Oryzias latipes: one gene and its partners. The protein of the gene in region 1 interacts with the protein of each later gene in a pairwise test. Links are inferred from orthologs where the notes say so. Each region holds a gene or a part of one and is shown in the gene's direction. Other genes may lie near its edges.

The links.
Region 2: the proteins of srek1ip1 (region 1) and stac3 interact in binary tests that used the Homo sapiens proteins (3 or more experiments, as listed by UniProt). The two-hybrid records come from large-scale screens. The link is inferred for Oryzias latipes from reciprocal best matches to the Homo sapiens genes SREK1IP1 and STAC3.
Region 3: the proteins of srek1ip1 (region 1) and prr13 interact in binary tests that used the Homo sapiens proteins (3 or more experiments, as listed by UniProt). The link is inferred for Oryzias latipes from reciprocal best matches to the Homo sapiens genes SREK1IP1 and PRR13.
Region 4: the proteins of srek1ip1 (region 1) and hsd17b14 interact in binary tests that used the Homo sapiens proteins (3 or more experiments, as listed by UniProt). The two-hybrid records come from large-scale screens. The link is inferred for Oryzias latipes from reciprocal best matches to the Homo sapiens genes SREK1IP1 and HSD17B14.

Annotation. Positions count from the first base shown.
Region 1 is NC_019862.2:11,630,851-11,634,350, forward strand, and holds part of srek1ip1 (protein SREK1IP1), read left to right. Parts: intron 1-919; exon of another isoform or gene 920-1,077; coding exon of another isoform or gene 1,078-1,090; intron 1,091-1,434; coding exon 1,435-1,482; intron 1,483-1,993; coding exon 1,994-2,152; intron 2,153-2,316; coding exon 2,317-2,389; intron 2,390-3,079; coding exon 3,080-3,314; 3' UTR 3,315-3,500. UniProt on the Homo sapiens protein: Possible splicing regulator involved in the control of cellular survival.
Region 2 is NC_019865.2:7,551,761-7,555,974, reverse strand, and holds the start of stac3 (SH3 and cysteine-rich domain-containing protein 3), read left to right. Parts: upstream 1-1,414; 5' UTR 1,415-1,722; intron 1,723-2,376; 5' UTR 2,377-2,409; coding exon 2,410-2,417; intron 2,418-2,855; coding exon 2,856-2,934; intron 2,935-3,204; coding exon 3,205-3,361; intron 3,362-3,509; coding exon 3,510-3,607; intron 3,608-3,777; coding exon 3,778-3,838; intron 3,839-4,149; coding exon 4,150-4,214. UniProt on the Homo sapiens protein: Required for normal excitation-contraction coupling in skeletal muscle and for normal muscle contraction in response to membrane depolarization. Required for normal Ca(2+) release from the sarcplasmic reticulum, which ultimately leads to muscle contraction.
Region 3 is NC_019863.2:10,423,632-10,427,704, reverse strand, and holds the start of prr13 (proline-rich protein 13), read left to right. Parts: upstream 1-1,273; 5' UTR 1,274-1,398; intron 1,399-2,769; 5' UTR 2,770-2,822; coding exon 2,823-2,838; intron 2,839-2,916; coding exon 2,917-3,455; intron 3,456-4,073. UniProt on the Homo sapiens protein: Negatively regulates TSP1 expression at the level of transcription. This down-regulation was shown to reduce taxane-induced apoptosis.
Region 4 is NC_019866.2:3,307,114-3,311,111, reverse strand, and holds the start of hsd17b14 (17-beta-hydroxysteroid dehydrogenase 14), read left to right. Parts: upstream 1-1,198; 5' UTR 1,199-1,368; coding exon 1,369-1,450; intron 1,451-1,525; coding exon 1,526-1,564; intron 1,565-1,649; coding exon 1,650-1,741; intron 1,742-1,837; coding exon 1,838-1,904; intron 1,905-2,002; coding exon 2,003-2,094; intron 2,095-2,817; coding exon 2,818-2,922; intron 2,923-2,992; coding exon 2,993-3,060; intron 3,061-3,989; coding exon 3,990-3,998. UniProt on the Homo sapiens protein: Catalyzes the NAD(+)-dependent oxidation of L-fucose, yielding L-fucono-1,5-lactone, which rapidly converts spontaneously to L-fucone-1,4-lactone. Can also act on D-arabinose and L-galactose, with lower catalytic efficiency. Does not use NADPH.

The DNA of each region.
Region 1 (3,500 bases):
GTCTTGGAAAAAAAAGATCTAGAATCAATAAAATGTAATATAATTTAAAGACAAAGTAAACCAAATGTTGCTTGAACTTTAGTCAAAATGTAAGTAAAATAGGAGAAAGTTTTTTCAAAGATAAAGTAAATGTAAGATGTTCTTAAAGAGAGTACGGTAGTATTATTAGATGTAACTTCGTCATACTATTTTGATTTTTAATTTAGTTTGTTTTGACTATTGTGATTAAATTTGAATGCTTTATTTATTTATTTTTACAAATTTCTGTTCTAATATGAGCTAAGCAATGTGATAAGCACAAGATCAAAGCTTTGTTTAAGGTTTAAGTCTCCTCCGTCCTCTTCAGTCATGGGGCCTATCTGTTATAAGAACGATTCGATTGTGCAGCCCTAATAGTTTCAATGCAGAAAAATGTTGCACTTATTCTGGCAGTTCCTGAGCCATACAGTGTAATCAAAAGCTGGAAATGGTGTGCGTCAGTGATCTTGTACCGCAGCCACAGACAAATGACAGCATGTCTGGAGGCCTCACATCTGTCTACAATTTCCATCCGTGACTCTAACCCGGAATGTCTTCAATTAATCCCTGCAACTATACGTTTGCCATTTAAAGTGATCAGGAAGGTCTGAAATGATACAGAAATACTTTTTGGTTTTAAAAAAGTAAAGTGGTGAACTCAAATTAAGCATCAAGTTTTCAATTGTTTTAATGTGTATATATATTTTTTGTTTTAATTAAGCAGTATTCTGTTCCTGGTTGATGTATTTACTTTTAAATGTATAGGAAGCAAAGAATACAGATTCATCCCAGTTAGGTTTTTCCTGTTTATTGATGTTTGAAAGAGGAAAAGCTTGAAAAACATCATACAGAGGAATTTGTTCAAATACAACTTCCATCCACGTGGGGGCGACACCGAGCCGCTGGTCTGTGACTGAGGACACAAGAACAAGATAAGGTGGAACGCAGTAATTTCCAGAACAAATGTTTCCGGACGACGATATTTTCCTCCAGGACTGTTTTGGCTCGCGCTGAACTTATTTTTTAATTTTTTGTACTTTTTTCGTCGTGTGAAGATCAATGGCTGTGCCAGGTTTGACATTTTATGTTTGTTATTCAGGTTTGTTGGTGAAGAAATACATCAACGCCGGCTCTTTACTAGCTACAAATGTAAACTGCAATGTATCCATGAAAAATTCCAATTTACTGTATTTTTTTGTTTTGTTTATATATATACAAACAAAGACCAGGCGTACAGTTAAAAAGTGTTAAAACTATAAAGCTGTAATAGCTTAAGCGCCGAGTGTGCCACCATACCTACTTTTCTTTTTTTTAAATTTATAACTTTACTGGTCTCTAATAATAATCCTACTTCGATCTCAGTATATATTTAACATCATATTTTGTTGAAACATGCGTCTTTATGTTATATTCTAGGACCAAATAAGGACAATATCAGGGCTGGATGTAAAAAGTGTGGATACGGTTAGTATTTGTTTATTTTTCGCTATGGGTTTTAGATTTAGTGTTATCAGTTTATCTGTTATGCACATTTTAGTTTAGTTTAATTTAGTTTAGCTTAATAATTCAATATATACTTGTTTTGCACACAATGCAAAATTAGTGCCAAACATACATTGACATATCTATAGGTATATAACGTGGGTTGCTGCTGTTGCAGAATAATTTTAGTAATCTTCTTTTTTATATCAATAATTTTGTCTTAAAGTAATTGTGATTTCTGTTTGCTATGGCTGTTAAAGGGCTATAGTTGTTGTTGTTTTTTTGTTAGAGACAGTCAAACAGCTTTGACCTAATTATATATTTTTCAGAAAATGCAATGCTTTGTAATGTGTAGTTACAGCGGCAGATTAAAAAACATTTTGGGGCTTTTTTTAGATATTAGTATTAATTTAATTAATACTGTATAGTTTTAACATTTCAGCAATATAAATATCTTCATTTATGAACAAATCTCACTAATTCTGTTCCTCAGCGGGTCATTTAACATTCGAGTGTCGAAACTTTGTGCGAGTTGACCCCCAGAAAGACATAGTTCTGGACGTAAGCAGCACCAGCACAGAGGAGAGTGAAGACGACATCCCTGTTCCTCCCAGCAGAGAGAAGCTAGGAAGGAGGGGTCAGCATCAGAAAGGTCAGATCTGAATTCTCTTCTTTCTTTTTTGTGAAGTATGTAATTTTTTAGAGTTAAATACAAATTCCATAAGTTTCCTTGCATTCAATAAAAGCAGAATCATTGATCTGCTTTTGAGTGATTGAAAAATTGATCCAATGTGGTCTTTGATTCTTGTGCTTTAGCTTCCGATGATGATGATGAAAGAAAAAAGAGGCGTAAAAGGAAGAAGAGCAAGGACAGAAAGTCAAGAAAAAGGTGATTTTTATTTACTTTGTCTTTTAACATTTATCTAATGCAATAGAGAACTGAACTCCTCTTAATTTGTTTTCATTCTGTGGTTTTGCTTTACTGTTGTGTAAAATTGCTGGAAGTTAGATAATACAGTTTCTGCTCTATTTCAAAGCCGTTGTGTACTTTATTTTTCTTTTAATGGTACTTGTCTTATTGAAATGACTACAGGCATTTTTGCTTTAGTCGTGTCAGTTTCCACCTGCCTCTCAGTTGAGCAAAATATGGACGCAAAAGCAGCTGAATTACTGCCTCATGTTTAATGAATTCTATTGCGTGTCCTAAGTTACTGTTCTTGTATCTACACCTCCCAGTTCTGTGATCGTTATCACATGTGCATCAACGACCGTGTGCAAAATTCCGGTACCAGTACTCTTATTGTTGTTTAACAGAAACAATTTGGTTTGCACACCAGGTTTTTCTGTAAACAAACCTTTTAGTAAATCAAGCTGGAATGGTAGCACAGAGGTATTAACCCTGTTTCCACCATCTGCTCGATAAAATAAGTCTTTCCAAACTAATGAAAAGCTGATTTTTCACTATGATTACATTTTGTACGATTTTACTCCCTTTTGAAACATTGAAACAGAGGTAGGTTTAGTTGTGTTGATTTAAAGGGATAGTCCATCCATTTTTTTTTTGTCTCTCTCTCTCCAGATCTAGTTCATCTTCAACTGAAGAAGACGCCCACAAAAAGCGGAAGAAACGCAGCAGATCCCATTCGGCTTCAGACCAAGAAGAGAGGCGCAAGAAGAAGAAAGATGGTCACAAGAAGAAAAGCAAAAAGACCAAAAAGGAGCATGGAAAGCATCACAAGAAGAGATTAAAAAAGAGGAAACATGCTTCGTCATCTTCCTCCTCTAGCTCCTCTGACTCTTCAGAATCTGACTGAAATGAGCAATAACGCAGATTCTGCATACGTAGTGCATCTCTAGCAATTCATGGTCCTGTTCCATCAAAATCTCCATCAGGTTAGAGTTTAAAATGTCACAGAATAAATGAAAACATGTGCATCTAATAGTGACTTTTGGATTTGTCTTTACCAAACCTTTTGGGTAAAAATGTATTTTTTTTATTT
Region 2 (4,214 bases), on another chromosome or scaffold:
ACGTGTGTGGCAAACAAACACTGAAATATTTTACACTGATGACACGGCAGCTAGCGTGAAAGCTAATAGCCGGGCTAGCAGGCTAAGACTACTTTGTAGTATGTTGTCGTGACAGCTGTCAGGCGCACAAAACACTCTGATGCAAAAACTCTTGTATTAGCAACGGTTACAAGAGGCATCCCGTGCAAAACATTGTCTCGAAATAAACACAACAACTTTCCTATTCGAATTACTATGATTCACTTACTTACAGATATCCGTTAGAGGAGGTAGCCACAACAAACAACAAATGCTGATTAACCTTTTTTGCATTAAGCTCCGTGTTGGCTAAGTTTTGAAGTCTCCGCTTTTGGATCGCGGGTGAATCAAGTTAGCTAGTTAGCAAGGCGACTAGCCAGTGAATGTTTTGAAAATGGTTGGTACTTTCAACAATTAAGCGAGACTTTAACCATTACATAATCTAATTCACGAATTAGCGATGTTAACCAGCTATCAAGATTTACGCAACGTCTGACCGTCAGGTTTAAAAACAAAGAGCAGTAGCGCTTCATTTCACTGCGCTTGAGTTCCTGGGTAACCGCTACGAGCTATGCTAGTTAGCAAAGCTAAAGGACTGAAATTTACTTGGTTCTGGAGAGTCCCAGCAAAACCGAGGGATGTCCCGCTCCCCGTCCACAACGATCCGGCCGTTGCTTTTAGTCTCCGTTCTGCTGAACCGTGTGGAATTCACATTCAATTCAACAACCATAACGACCTATGTGATCCCAAATTCACATTTGCTCCTTGTGTTTTTTTTCTTTCCCTTTTTCTTACAAATTCCAAGCAAAAGAAAAAAGAAAAAAAAATAATAATGGAGTTTTCTTTTGGGCATGCGCACTCAGCGCGTCAGGAATATTGTACCCAAAATGCAACGGGACCTTTGTAACGCTTGTCTAGCGCAGGTTGGAGCGTCCTGACAGAGGACACTGCATATATATCTATATATCCATTTATATCTATATCTATATAGATATATATGCATCTACATATCTATATATCTAGATATATAGAGATATAGATATGTAGAGAGATTTTAAACTTTAAAACCAAGTCCAGATGACATCCCCTAAACCTACTACAATGGAACCAACCTGGATGAATGAGAGTCTTCATAGACATACATATAGAGATATGTATATAGATAGATATAGATATAAAGATCTATATCTATCTATATACATAGATAGATAGATAGATAGATAGATAGATAGATAGATAGATAGATAGATAGATAGATAGATAGATAGATAGGGGGGAGTGTGTGTATCCCCTTTTCCTCCCGACTCAGGCTTAGTGAGAGATACTCAGCTGTTGCAAACTGTCAAGTTCACTCAGTAATGCCAAGCCTGCCATGCACAAAAATACACACACTTGGGCATCCATAAATAGTTAGATCTTTCCAGTCCCTTTACACTATTTTGTATATTGGCATATGTAAATATATATTACTTTAGTGAGGTTACATTCAAAGTGTAAAATCCTCTGAAGCGAATATCAAGAAACCACAAATAGGGGACCAAAGGCCAAAAGGCCTGAACTGACAGGACATTTTGGGCGGCTGCTTTGTTGGAGTCAGTAGCACAGATCGTACGCCACACCAGTCATCGTCTTTTGCTCAAGACCCACCATAGAGTTTTGACAATATACTGGATTTGTAACTTCCTCCGTGGTCTTTCACTTAAGGTAGGCTACCATTGCATATATAAACAATGCCTGTTAATAACCATTTCTGTTTCTGTTCTGTAAGTAGATTAAATTTGTTAAGTGAATTGTTCACCACTCTTAAAATCTGTGTGGTTTATTTAAAACAATTTTGTTCAAGATGATAGCTTGGATTTCGTTACGTTTTTTTTCCTGACTAGAAAAAAATCCAAAATTTAGCAATTATGAGATTTCAAAACCCAAAAAGAGTTTGGGTAAAGCTGTAGGTGACAATTTGCAAAATCCAAGTTACACTGTCAAACACAAAATAATGAAGCATATTTGTTTTGTTTTGTTTTTTTACAAAAAATTTCTTTCTGTATTTGATATTTCAACTTTTGCTGTGTGAAATTGTAGGTTGGTTAATATAAACATGCGAAAGTAAATCTGTGGCTAAATACATTTTACATTGGCATTTGTCTATTTTTAAACACTGGCAGTCATAAAATCCTAAACATAGAAACGTAAGGGAGTGATTATATGAACTCTCACAATTAAAAAAGAAAAGAGGTCCTTTCAGATGTACATAAAATATAATATTTTATAAACCAAAGTTTTTATTTTATTGAAATCATTTAGAAATTCTAAATTTTAAGTCAATCAACCCCATGTCAAACGTTGTTCCATTATTTCTAGGTTGGAAAGTGTTGACTTTGTCTGCATTGCATCATGGATCAGTGAGTACAGATCCACTCATCATTTGTTCCGTCAGTGTCAAAATGTTATAAGCTTGTTAGTTATCAATTAACTTAAAACTCAACTTGATAAGTGATACTATTAGAGATCTTTTTTGCAATGAGGTCAAAGTCTACCTATTAATTTCTATAAAATAATTAACTGAAGTTATTTTATAAAATTGTATCGTTTAAGACGAGTGTCTTTTGTAACTTGGAGTAGATTTTTCTTCTGATTACATGGTTTCCATGATGCTTGTTTTTTTTTCCCTAGTCTGTCATGGTAAAATAAGTTCAGTAAGTTCTCCTTTAGTGTCATTGCTGAATAAACATGCACCAGTAGTAAACCTTTGAGTTTTATTTATTAATTCCAAAATTGTGTTTTTTTCCCAATCCGTGGCTTCGGCAGCTTATAGTTTTTTCCACGTTTATTTATCTCAGGGAGGATGACAAAAACTCTGTGGATATTCATGACAATCCTCCAGTCCCTGACAATGTAGTGAGGGAGGAGGGAGACACAGTGAGTGACAGCACCATGCCAACCACCCACCATTAGGGCCATTCCCAGGATGTTTAAAATAGCCACCAGTTGGAACAAGGCTGCAGTCCACTGTCAATTCTGAAAATATGACCTCAGATTTAGATTTCCCTGAAGATAGTTTTATACATGTAGTCTAGACAGTTTGTTTCATTGCCAAAACTCTGACTCATACAAATCGAGATTCTTTATGAACACCACCCTTAACATGTTTCACATTTTCTGCCTAAGCTGTTTCTGCTATTTCTCAAGGTCTACTTCATATATGAAGAGGAAGTTGAAGTGGAGGAAAAGGAACCAGAACCTCCCCCGGAACCCATTCTTCGGATCAATGACAAACCCCACAAATTCAAGGATCACTACTGCAAGAAACCTAAGTTCTGCGATGTCTGTGCTCGCATGATAGTCTGTATGTGCTCACCAGGATACGCAAATACACAACCAGTCCTGTTAAATTTCCCAAAGAAATGTGTTTAGATTGACTTTTCATAGTGATGCTATTTTCTACATCAAAATGATGTGTGACTTTTACTGTTTTTCATTTGCACATCTTGCAGTGAACAACAAGTTTTGTCTGAGGTGTAAAAACTGCAAAACCAATATCCACCATTCATGCCAATCCTATGTCGAGTTCCAGAAGTGTTTTGGCAAAATTGTGAGTTTTATTCATCATAAAAAATGTTATATTTTACACTGATATCAAAGAATATGCAGTCAAATAGATAGACAGTCAATAAAATCTGTGCAAACTCAGATTATTGTGTTTTATAATTCAAAGGCTATAAACTCTTATGAATATTTTATTTTTTATTTTTGTGTTTCTAGCCACCTGGATTTAGAAGAGCTTACAGCTCCCCTTTGTATGGCAGTGACCAACCCGATCCAAGTGAGTCCAGAAAAGTTAGCTCAAAATAGACATGATTATCATAATCACTATTTTGAAAAAAAGAAAGTTACTTGTGTTGGAAAATTGCTGTAGCTGATTCAACAATATAATTGAAATAAAGAAAAATTACACCAGTTTGTACAGAAAATCTCCTTTTGGCTTAGCATAAAAATTAGATTACATCTTCAAAGGTGACATCTAACCTGGACTGTAGGCTTCTGCATTACTAGTCTTTTTAAATATTACTATCAAGCAGTCAAAATTAAATAGATAAATTATTGATTCAGCTCAATAATTTTGCATTCCACCAGATAATCCAAACCGGAATGACCCCGTCTTTGACACCCTGAGAGTGGGCGTCATAATGGCAAACAAG
Region 3 (4,073 bases), on another chromosome or scaffold:
GAATTATTCTGATCCAAATCTAGGCCCATCAATCCTCCCTGTGATTATTTCCAGGATTAAATGAATAAACTCCAGGCTAGTCTTAAAAGCAAATAACTATAAAAAGAGCCAAATCAGCCAATCTTTTGAACGTCCCTTCCAAGTGAACTGATTCAAAAGATTCAGCTCCCTAAAAAGAGCCATAAATCCCAAATGTGAGGTAGAGAAAATTTTCCTTAAAAAAAGTGTGTGTGTGTGTGTGTGGGTGTGTGTGTGTGTGTGTGGGGGGGGGGTTGATTGAACAGCGGAAGAAAAAGGTGGGTTTGTGGCGAGTACTTGAAAGTCATTTAGGAAGAACGCTGTACTTCAAAGTCCTTATTTGTGATTTTGCATATGAGAAGGCTCGACATTTGGCTTTGAGTAAACAAAGTTGAGCAAGTTAAAAGGTTTGAAAAAGAAGCTTGACTTACTAATTTGCTATTCATTCACGAGTTAAGTTTTATTTAAATGATAAATCACATATGGTTTGATGGTGCTTTCATTTAGCTGACTTTTTTTTAATCTCCACTGATAATATTGTTTTTTTCATGAAGAAGTTTATTTCTTATTTAAGAATCAGTTTTGCTGTGAATATATGAAACACAAGAAATTCTATTGTATTCGGAGTTCTCACTTCATAACTGTCTCTCACCAAATTGTTTTACTAAATATATAAAAACAAACAAAAAAACAAACAAACAAAAAGATCATGAAAATTGTGTAAACCTGATAAAAGTGAATTCAGTTTGGCTGATACAGTCTTGTTATTATATCATGGGCACAATGACTCATTGTTGTGTTTTGATGACCAAATGGAAAGCAGACAGTAATGGAAAAAAATAACTGCCAGTTATTTGTGGCATAGTGGTACAATTTCATACAAGTTTTATTTAAAAATTTGGTTAATACTGAATTTAAAAAGGGGTTTGGTTATTGTATTTCATTAATAGCACGATATTTTATTATTAGGTCTATAAAACTCATTTTGATGCAAAATTATGAAAGTCCGTCTGTAAATACTGTTTTGTTCAATAAAAAATCCTGCTATGAGCTTGAGCAAAAGTTAATTGTTAAACTTTTCTTTAAATAAAAAGAATTACAGTGGATCCATGATGTAATGGACATTTTCAGATAAAATCATTTCCATTATGGTCGTATTTCCTTTGGACACACCCTGTGGTGACAAACTCCGTCTTTTGTGATTGTGACATTGAAAGTATTAAATGAGCTTTCAACGTGGGCACAATACTGTGCATTCTTGATCGGAGGTGGGCGTGGCTTCCAGGCGCAGTCTCAGTTAACTGCAGAGCTCAACGCGGAAGACAACAAGAAGCTCCGGGTTTCTAAGTGACGTCGAACAAGCAGAGGCAAGTTACTCAGGTAAGCTTTTGGAACCTGGCATTTTGTTATAGGCAGTGCGACAGATGTTGACAGTAGATAATTCGGAAATATCTCGTGTTTTAAATGCAGGATATTCGGTAAGAGGCCGAACTTTGCGTGAATTTCTTAGCCGAAGAAAAATTCCTCGAGGGGTTCGTTTTGCGACATCTAGGCCTGCTTTGTGGCAGGCGGAGAAATAATGCAGGTCCAGTGTAGATTTAATAGATGTATTAAAATGGACTTAAAATAAACAAATAACTGCGTCAAGATACTTTAAACATCAATGTTAGCTGTTTTACTTTCTTTTTGTTGTTTTGTGTGTCAGTGATGTTTAGATTTCAGTTTTTATAGACTTTTGGGCAACTTCTCAAGCTTGTTTAATGATCTCATTCTACCAATCTTGTGTTGTGGTTAAATAATTCTATTATTTGTGTTTATTTCTTCCATTGATGTAAAATATAAGATTGCAGTCTTATCATCATGGCTTTCAGAGATTTGCTCAGTTGAGCTCCCACTATTCACTTGTCCAACAGCTGTAGATTACCCTTTATTTCCCAACTGTTACGTTTAACACAAACTGGTTTTTGAAAGATAAAAATATGAAGAATTTCTTGTTGAAAATTGTTGGTTCCCTGGATTCGAACATACAGATCATGTTTCCACACTGAGGTGTGTCCGACCTGAGGTGTGTCAAAATCACATGATGCAAATGTTGACGTTTTTTGTTTGTTTTACAGATGACTATTTTATGTGAGAACCAAACTGTCAAGAAAACAAAACAAAACCCTGCTGAATATAAACTATATCTAATCCCCACACACAAATCTGTGAAGAATCAATGGATCAAAAAATTTGGAGTTTTATTGCATATATAATAAGAAAATATATAATGAGATACTTAAAATATGATTCATATTATTACATTTCTATTCTTCCTCACTTTCATGTACATCCTAAAAGGTAATTTACAAATGTGTGTCAATTATTCTGGTTTTAAAACAAAATGCTGCAATCACATGTGACGTTTTGAGGGGGGGGGGGGGGGGGGGTCCCTCCACAACAAGTAGCATTTCCCTTGGTCTCCAACTGCGGTGCCGTTGGCTCTGTTGCAAATTTTTGTCAAAAACCGAGCTAAAATGAACTTCTCAAGACTTGTTTCTATTGTTCAAAAGATGTTGTTAAATGTAATTTATAGAATATTCAACTGTTTTTAACGGTAGGTTGGACTTGATTGAACAAAAGTAACTAAACTGAAATGGGAAATTATTTACTTCTAGGTTTTAGTTTTAATTTTTATATGATTGTAATGTTGACTTACTGCCCTTTTTAATCATATTTTTATATTGATTTTCCTTTCTGCTTGTTTGTCAGGATTCTATTGTGACACCTGATGTGTGTTTGTCATTAGGCTCTACACCAAAACCATGTGGCCAAATCAAGGTGGGATATCAAAATTCTTTATAAATGTTTGTATTACCTAATGCAATGTCAGCCACAAAATGCTTTATTTTGGATCAGGTCCTCCCCATTCAGTGCCTCCACCAAACCCAGCCTTTGCCCCTGGCTACAACCCTGCATATCCTCCTGTGCCTCCAGCAGGAGTCTTTCCTCCACAACCAGTATACCCAGCTGGTCAGTACCCAGCTGGTCAGTACCCAGCTGGTCAGTACCCAGCTGGTCAGTACCCAGCTGGTCAGTACCCAGCTGGTCAGTACCCAGCTGGTGGGAATGTCGCCATGGGACCACATGGAGCTCCAGGAATGATGCCATATGGAGCACCTGGAGCTCACCCGTATCCCATGGCTCCAGGTGGAGTTCCAGGAGTCCCACATGCTGGTGTTCATCCAGGTCACTACCCACACTCTCCAAAAGGGGGGCACCACAAAGGGGGGCACCACAAAGGGCATCATCATGGAGGAGCCATGCCAATGGGTGGAGTAGTAGCGGGTGGGGTTGCAGGAATGGGAATTGGGCTGGTTGGACATAAAGCCAATAAGAAGATGAAGAAAAAGATGAAGAAGGCTCATAAACAAAAGCATGGACACAAACATGGCAAGGTGAGGTTGTGCTTGGGTGAAAGAATGCTAGTTAATGTTTGTCTTGTATGGCGCTTCATCTCTGCCATAAAGTGAAAGGGCGTAAAGACAACTGAGCGGGTGTATTCGGAAACTGAGTGAGCAAACCTTACAACCGCGCGGGCGCAATTCTAACCGAGCGACTCCGTATTTTAAAACTGCACGCCTGCAATCCTAAATGAGCGGTGATCCCTCGCGGTCAATTTTCCTTTGCGCCCCTGCTTGGATTTACACGCTCAGTGTTAAGGCCTGTTCACACCGGGACGAATTTCGCCGGCGATTTTCGCCGACGTTTAACGCCTCGTGACTAAACAAAGGGCACCAACGAGAGTGTGCACACCGACGCGAAAAAACGCCACGCGTTAAAGCGTCAAAAAAAAAAAACGCCTTGGGTTCGTTTTTTTTTTCGACGCGTCGCGTCGAAATCTACTCGACCAATGAGAATGGCGCTTTTGCTCACGTGTCTGGAGCTTCTGAAGTTACAGTAAAACACAACTTGGGGGCGCTCAAACACAAAACTGCCTTGCTGAGCACACATACCAGCGAAGAAGATAGACGCCAAGTAGCGTCTACACAGCCGCGAAGCAATAATGACGGACA
Region 4 (3,998 bases), on another chromosome or scaffold:
GTCCAGCACCCGGTGGCCCCAATGGCGGCCGTCTGATGTGCCTGTCCTGTGGCCTTGGGGCCCAAACGGTGGGCTAACCTGTGCTCCGCAGTGATGGAAGGGCCCCCTAGGGTGTCCTTAGGACGGTCCCCTCCATTTGGGCCTTGGGGCCCAAACGGCGGGCTATCCTGTGCTCCGCAGTGATGGAAGGGCCCCCTAGGAGGGTCCCCTCCATTTGGGCCTTGGGCCCAAACGGCGGGCTATCCTGTGCTCCGCAGTGATGGAAGGGCCCCCTATGAGGGTCCCCTCCATTTGGGCCTTGGGGCCCAAACGGCGGGCTATCCTGTGCTCCGCAGTGATGGAAGGGCCCCCTAGGAGGGTCCCCTCCATTTGGGCCTTGGGCCCAAACGGCGGGCTATCCTGTGCTCCGCAGTGATGGAAGGGCCCCCTAGGAGGGTCCCCTCCATTTGGGCCTTGGGGCCCAAACGGCGGTCTCCTGCACCTTCTCTCTTGGTCCTACCGGTCATGCTGGGGAGGATCTGGTCCCCCTAATGATCACATGGTACACTTTGGCAGCGTGCTTGCATCTCCCCCCCCCCCCCCCCCCCCCCCCGGTGTGCATGTGCACGTGCACACTTATCCCTGTCTGCTTTATCCCTCCTCCTAACCCACAGATGGACAGATATCTTCCACTTATCTTGGTGTCAGATTTTCACTTTTGGATGTAACATTTGTCTTTCCAGCAGAAATAAAATATATATTTAAAACATAAAATATAATAAATAAATAACAAACAATTAAAATAAAAACCTAAAAGGGGTTTATACAGATATACACCTTGGCTGTCAGAAGATCCATAATAGTCAAATCTGTCCAACTCAAAAGGCTTTCAGCTCTTGTATGTTAGCTCGGTTGTTGGACAGGACAAGTTAAAATAAAAACACCACGTTTTTCGGGTCTAAAGTTATTTCTGGGCCTCTACCTTTTTATTTTATTTTTTAAAGGAGAAATAAAGACAGGCTGACTTAACAAATTTTAAAGGAACTTCAGAAATGTTTCCTCTTTTTATCTAAATTCTCACGAAACTGTCAGTTAAAAGGAGAAGTAATATATTCGAAAGCAAATTCCTTTCAGATTTTTAAAAAAAAAAATGTTTTTAATAGGATTGAAGAATTTCAGAGTTTCCAGTCTTCCCAGCGGCGCTTGAATGCAGCATAGTTTCTTTTTCGGTGCAGACGCAGACCTTTGCCCAGTCGCGGTGTTTCTGTGAGTCTCCCGCAGAGCACAGACCCGCCGCTCGCCTCTCCTGCTGCAGGACGCTGCGGGACGCACCGGCTCGCGGCTTTGCGGCGCTTCCGTGCACATCCGTGCAGGAAAAGCGCAAACACCATGTCCTTCCGCTACCTCGGCAAAGTTGTTATTGTGACTGGAGGGTCTAGAGGAATCGGCAGAGGGATTACCGAGGCCTTTGGTATTGGATCTGTCCACATTTCCAAATGGGTTGCAGGTTCAAGTCCAGTTCCCTGAAAGTCTGTTTGTTTTTCAGTGAGAAATGGAGCCAAAGTGGTGTTTTGTGCATTAGGAGGTCAGCAAAGAGACAGTCTTTCCCTTTTCTTGTACATTATCAAATTAGGCCTATTTGAAGTGTCTTAATTGTGTCACTATTGCAGAAGGTGACACTGTTGAGGCAGAACTGAACAGAACCGGACCAGGATCCTGCAAGTTTGTGAGATGTGATGTCACCAAGGAAGAGGACATCAAGGTGAAGTTCTGGGTTATTACAAGAATCCATCCAACCAGACTGGCGTTTTCTGTCATCCAGTCTGACGAGGGGCTTGTTTCCCACCCACCTCCACAGAGGCTGATCTCCTCCACCGTGGAGCTGCATGGACACATCGACTGCTTGGTCAACAACGCAGGCTGGCGTGAGTCTGCTCAAACCTCTCTGGCCTCCTGCAGACGTGTTGAAGACATTTTTGGAGACCTTTAGGTTGCTGTTTTGTTTGTTTGTTGTGATTTTCAGACCCTCCGCACAAATCCATCGATGACACCACAGCTGAGGAATTCAGAGATCTGCTCAACCTGAACCTCGTCAGCTACTTCCTGGCTTCCAAAGTAAACTTTTCTATGATTAGAAGAACATTTTATTTTACATTAGTTTCAATTATTTTGAATAAAACTGCAAAATCACTATAAAAAGAGCCTTTAGTAGTAAAAATATGAAAACATTGGTTCACAGTTTTCTTTTTGTGTTAGTTTTTAGTACCAAAGATGCTTTATGAGGACAACATTTTGTTTTAAGGATTTTCTTTTTAATTGTAGTGTATGAATGTCCAAAATAGAAAATGAACTTTTCCTAATAAGAACCCTACACTCTAAAAAAGAAATAAGTTTATCTAACTTAATTAAATCACATCATCCTCTCAACTCTAACTCATGGTGCAGAAAGAAAGAAACACAACAGTTTAAATTAAAACAGCTAGACAACAAAACACATGGACTCACACTTAAACCCCAATCTGCCTAGATAGGCAAAGAAAATGGTATCCCACAATTCTTTATCATGATGTCTTGACGCATTGACAGCTTCACACCGAAGTTACACCAACTTAATCAAATTAAGTTGATTAAAAGTAAAATAACAATGTCATTTTTAAGTTTAATGAACTCAAAAAACGATTTATTTTCACCAAACTGAATAATTAAATTAGATCAATGTGAAAAAGTTAATATTTCCAACTACAGCCCAAATACTTTTTTTAGAGTGTAACAAGAACCCTAATCAGAACACAGTTAGGACTGTTCTAACATCTTGTGTCCTTGTGTGTCTCCCTCCAGTTTGCGTTGCCATATCTGCGGCAGCGTCAGGGAAACATCATTAATATTTCCAGTCTCGTGGGCTCTATTGGTCAGAAAGATGCAGTGCCATATGTTGCCACGAAAGTGAGTGAATTTGGAAGGATGTTCTTAAGGCAGTCAGGCGGCTCCTGTAATGCGCTACTTTCTCCACTAGGGGGCGATCATCTCCATGACGAAGGCGATGGCTGTGGATGAGAGCCAATACCACGTGAGAGTGAACTGGTGAGGCATCCCAACTTCTCCACGCCTTACTTTAAGCTGAAGAATAAATTACTCAGTTGTGACCACATTGATAACTGATGTACATTAAGGCAGTAAAACCATCCCTTTGTGGTTTAGTAAGAACATTTATGCACTTTTTTAAATATTTTAATGCTACTTTTCAGATATTAATTGAAGAAAGAACAAAATATTAGTATATATGTATTTGTTTTTCTTAAGTAACTATGAATGTTTTCTTTATGGACTTCCATCTCTTGATACTAAATTTAAATCTTAATGTATGTGCCATAATATGTCCTTTGTTACTTCCTCTGGCTGTAACTCCCTAACATGTATTTATTTATTTATTGCACGCTTTGGAACTTCCATCCTCCCCTCTTTTTTTTATTGTACTCATTTTTTTACGTTCATCCAGACCTGAACTACAAACTACAAACAAAACGAAGCTGGACCAAGAATGAATGTACATTTTATTTGAGGAGAGAGGAAAAAATGTATGTTAAAGTGCAGGTACACTGCAGTCACAGAAGCTCCTAGTTTTTGTGAGCTTTTTCTAGTTGTGTTAAAAAACAGAACATTAAAAGCCTCATTTCTAATGCGGCAAACTAACAAACATTTAATTATATAAATTAAAAATTGTATCACATTAATCTGTGTTAAACATAGTTTCTGCAGAGCAGCAGGATTAAAAAAAAAATCTGCTCCTGATTCACAACAATATGAAAAAAGAAATATATAGAAGTTAAATTTAAAGCTTGTTTTTTTAAATCCTCAGAAAAAGATGTCAATAACATGTTGAAAACACCCAAAACTCTATTATCATCTAAGTGGGTCTTAAAGGATATTTACTAAAAGAAAGAAAACTGCTTTTATTTTGACATCTGTCGGTCTTTTCTGCCCTGCTAACACCTTTGTGTGATGTGGGACAGCATCTCTCC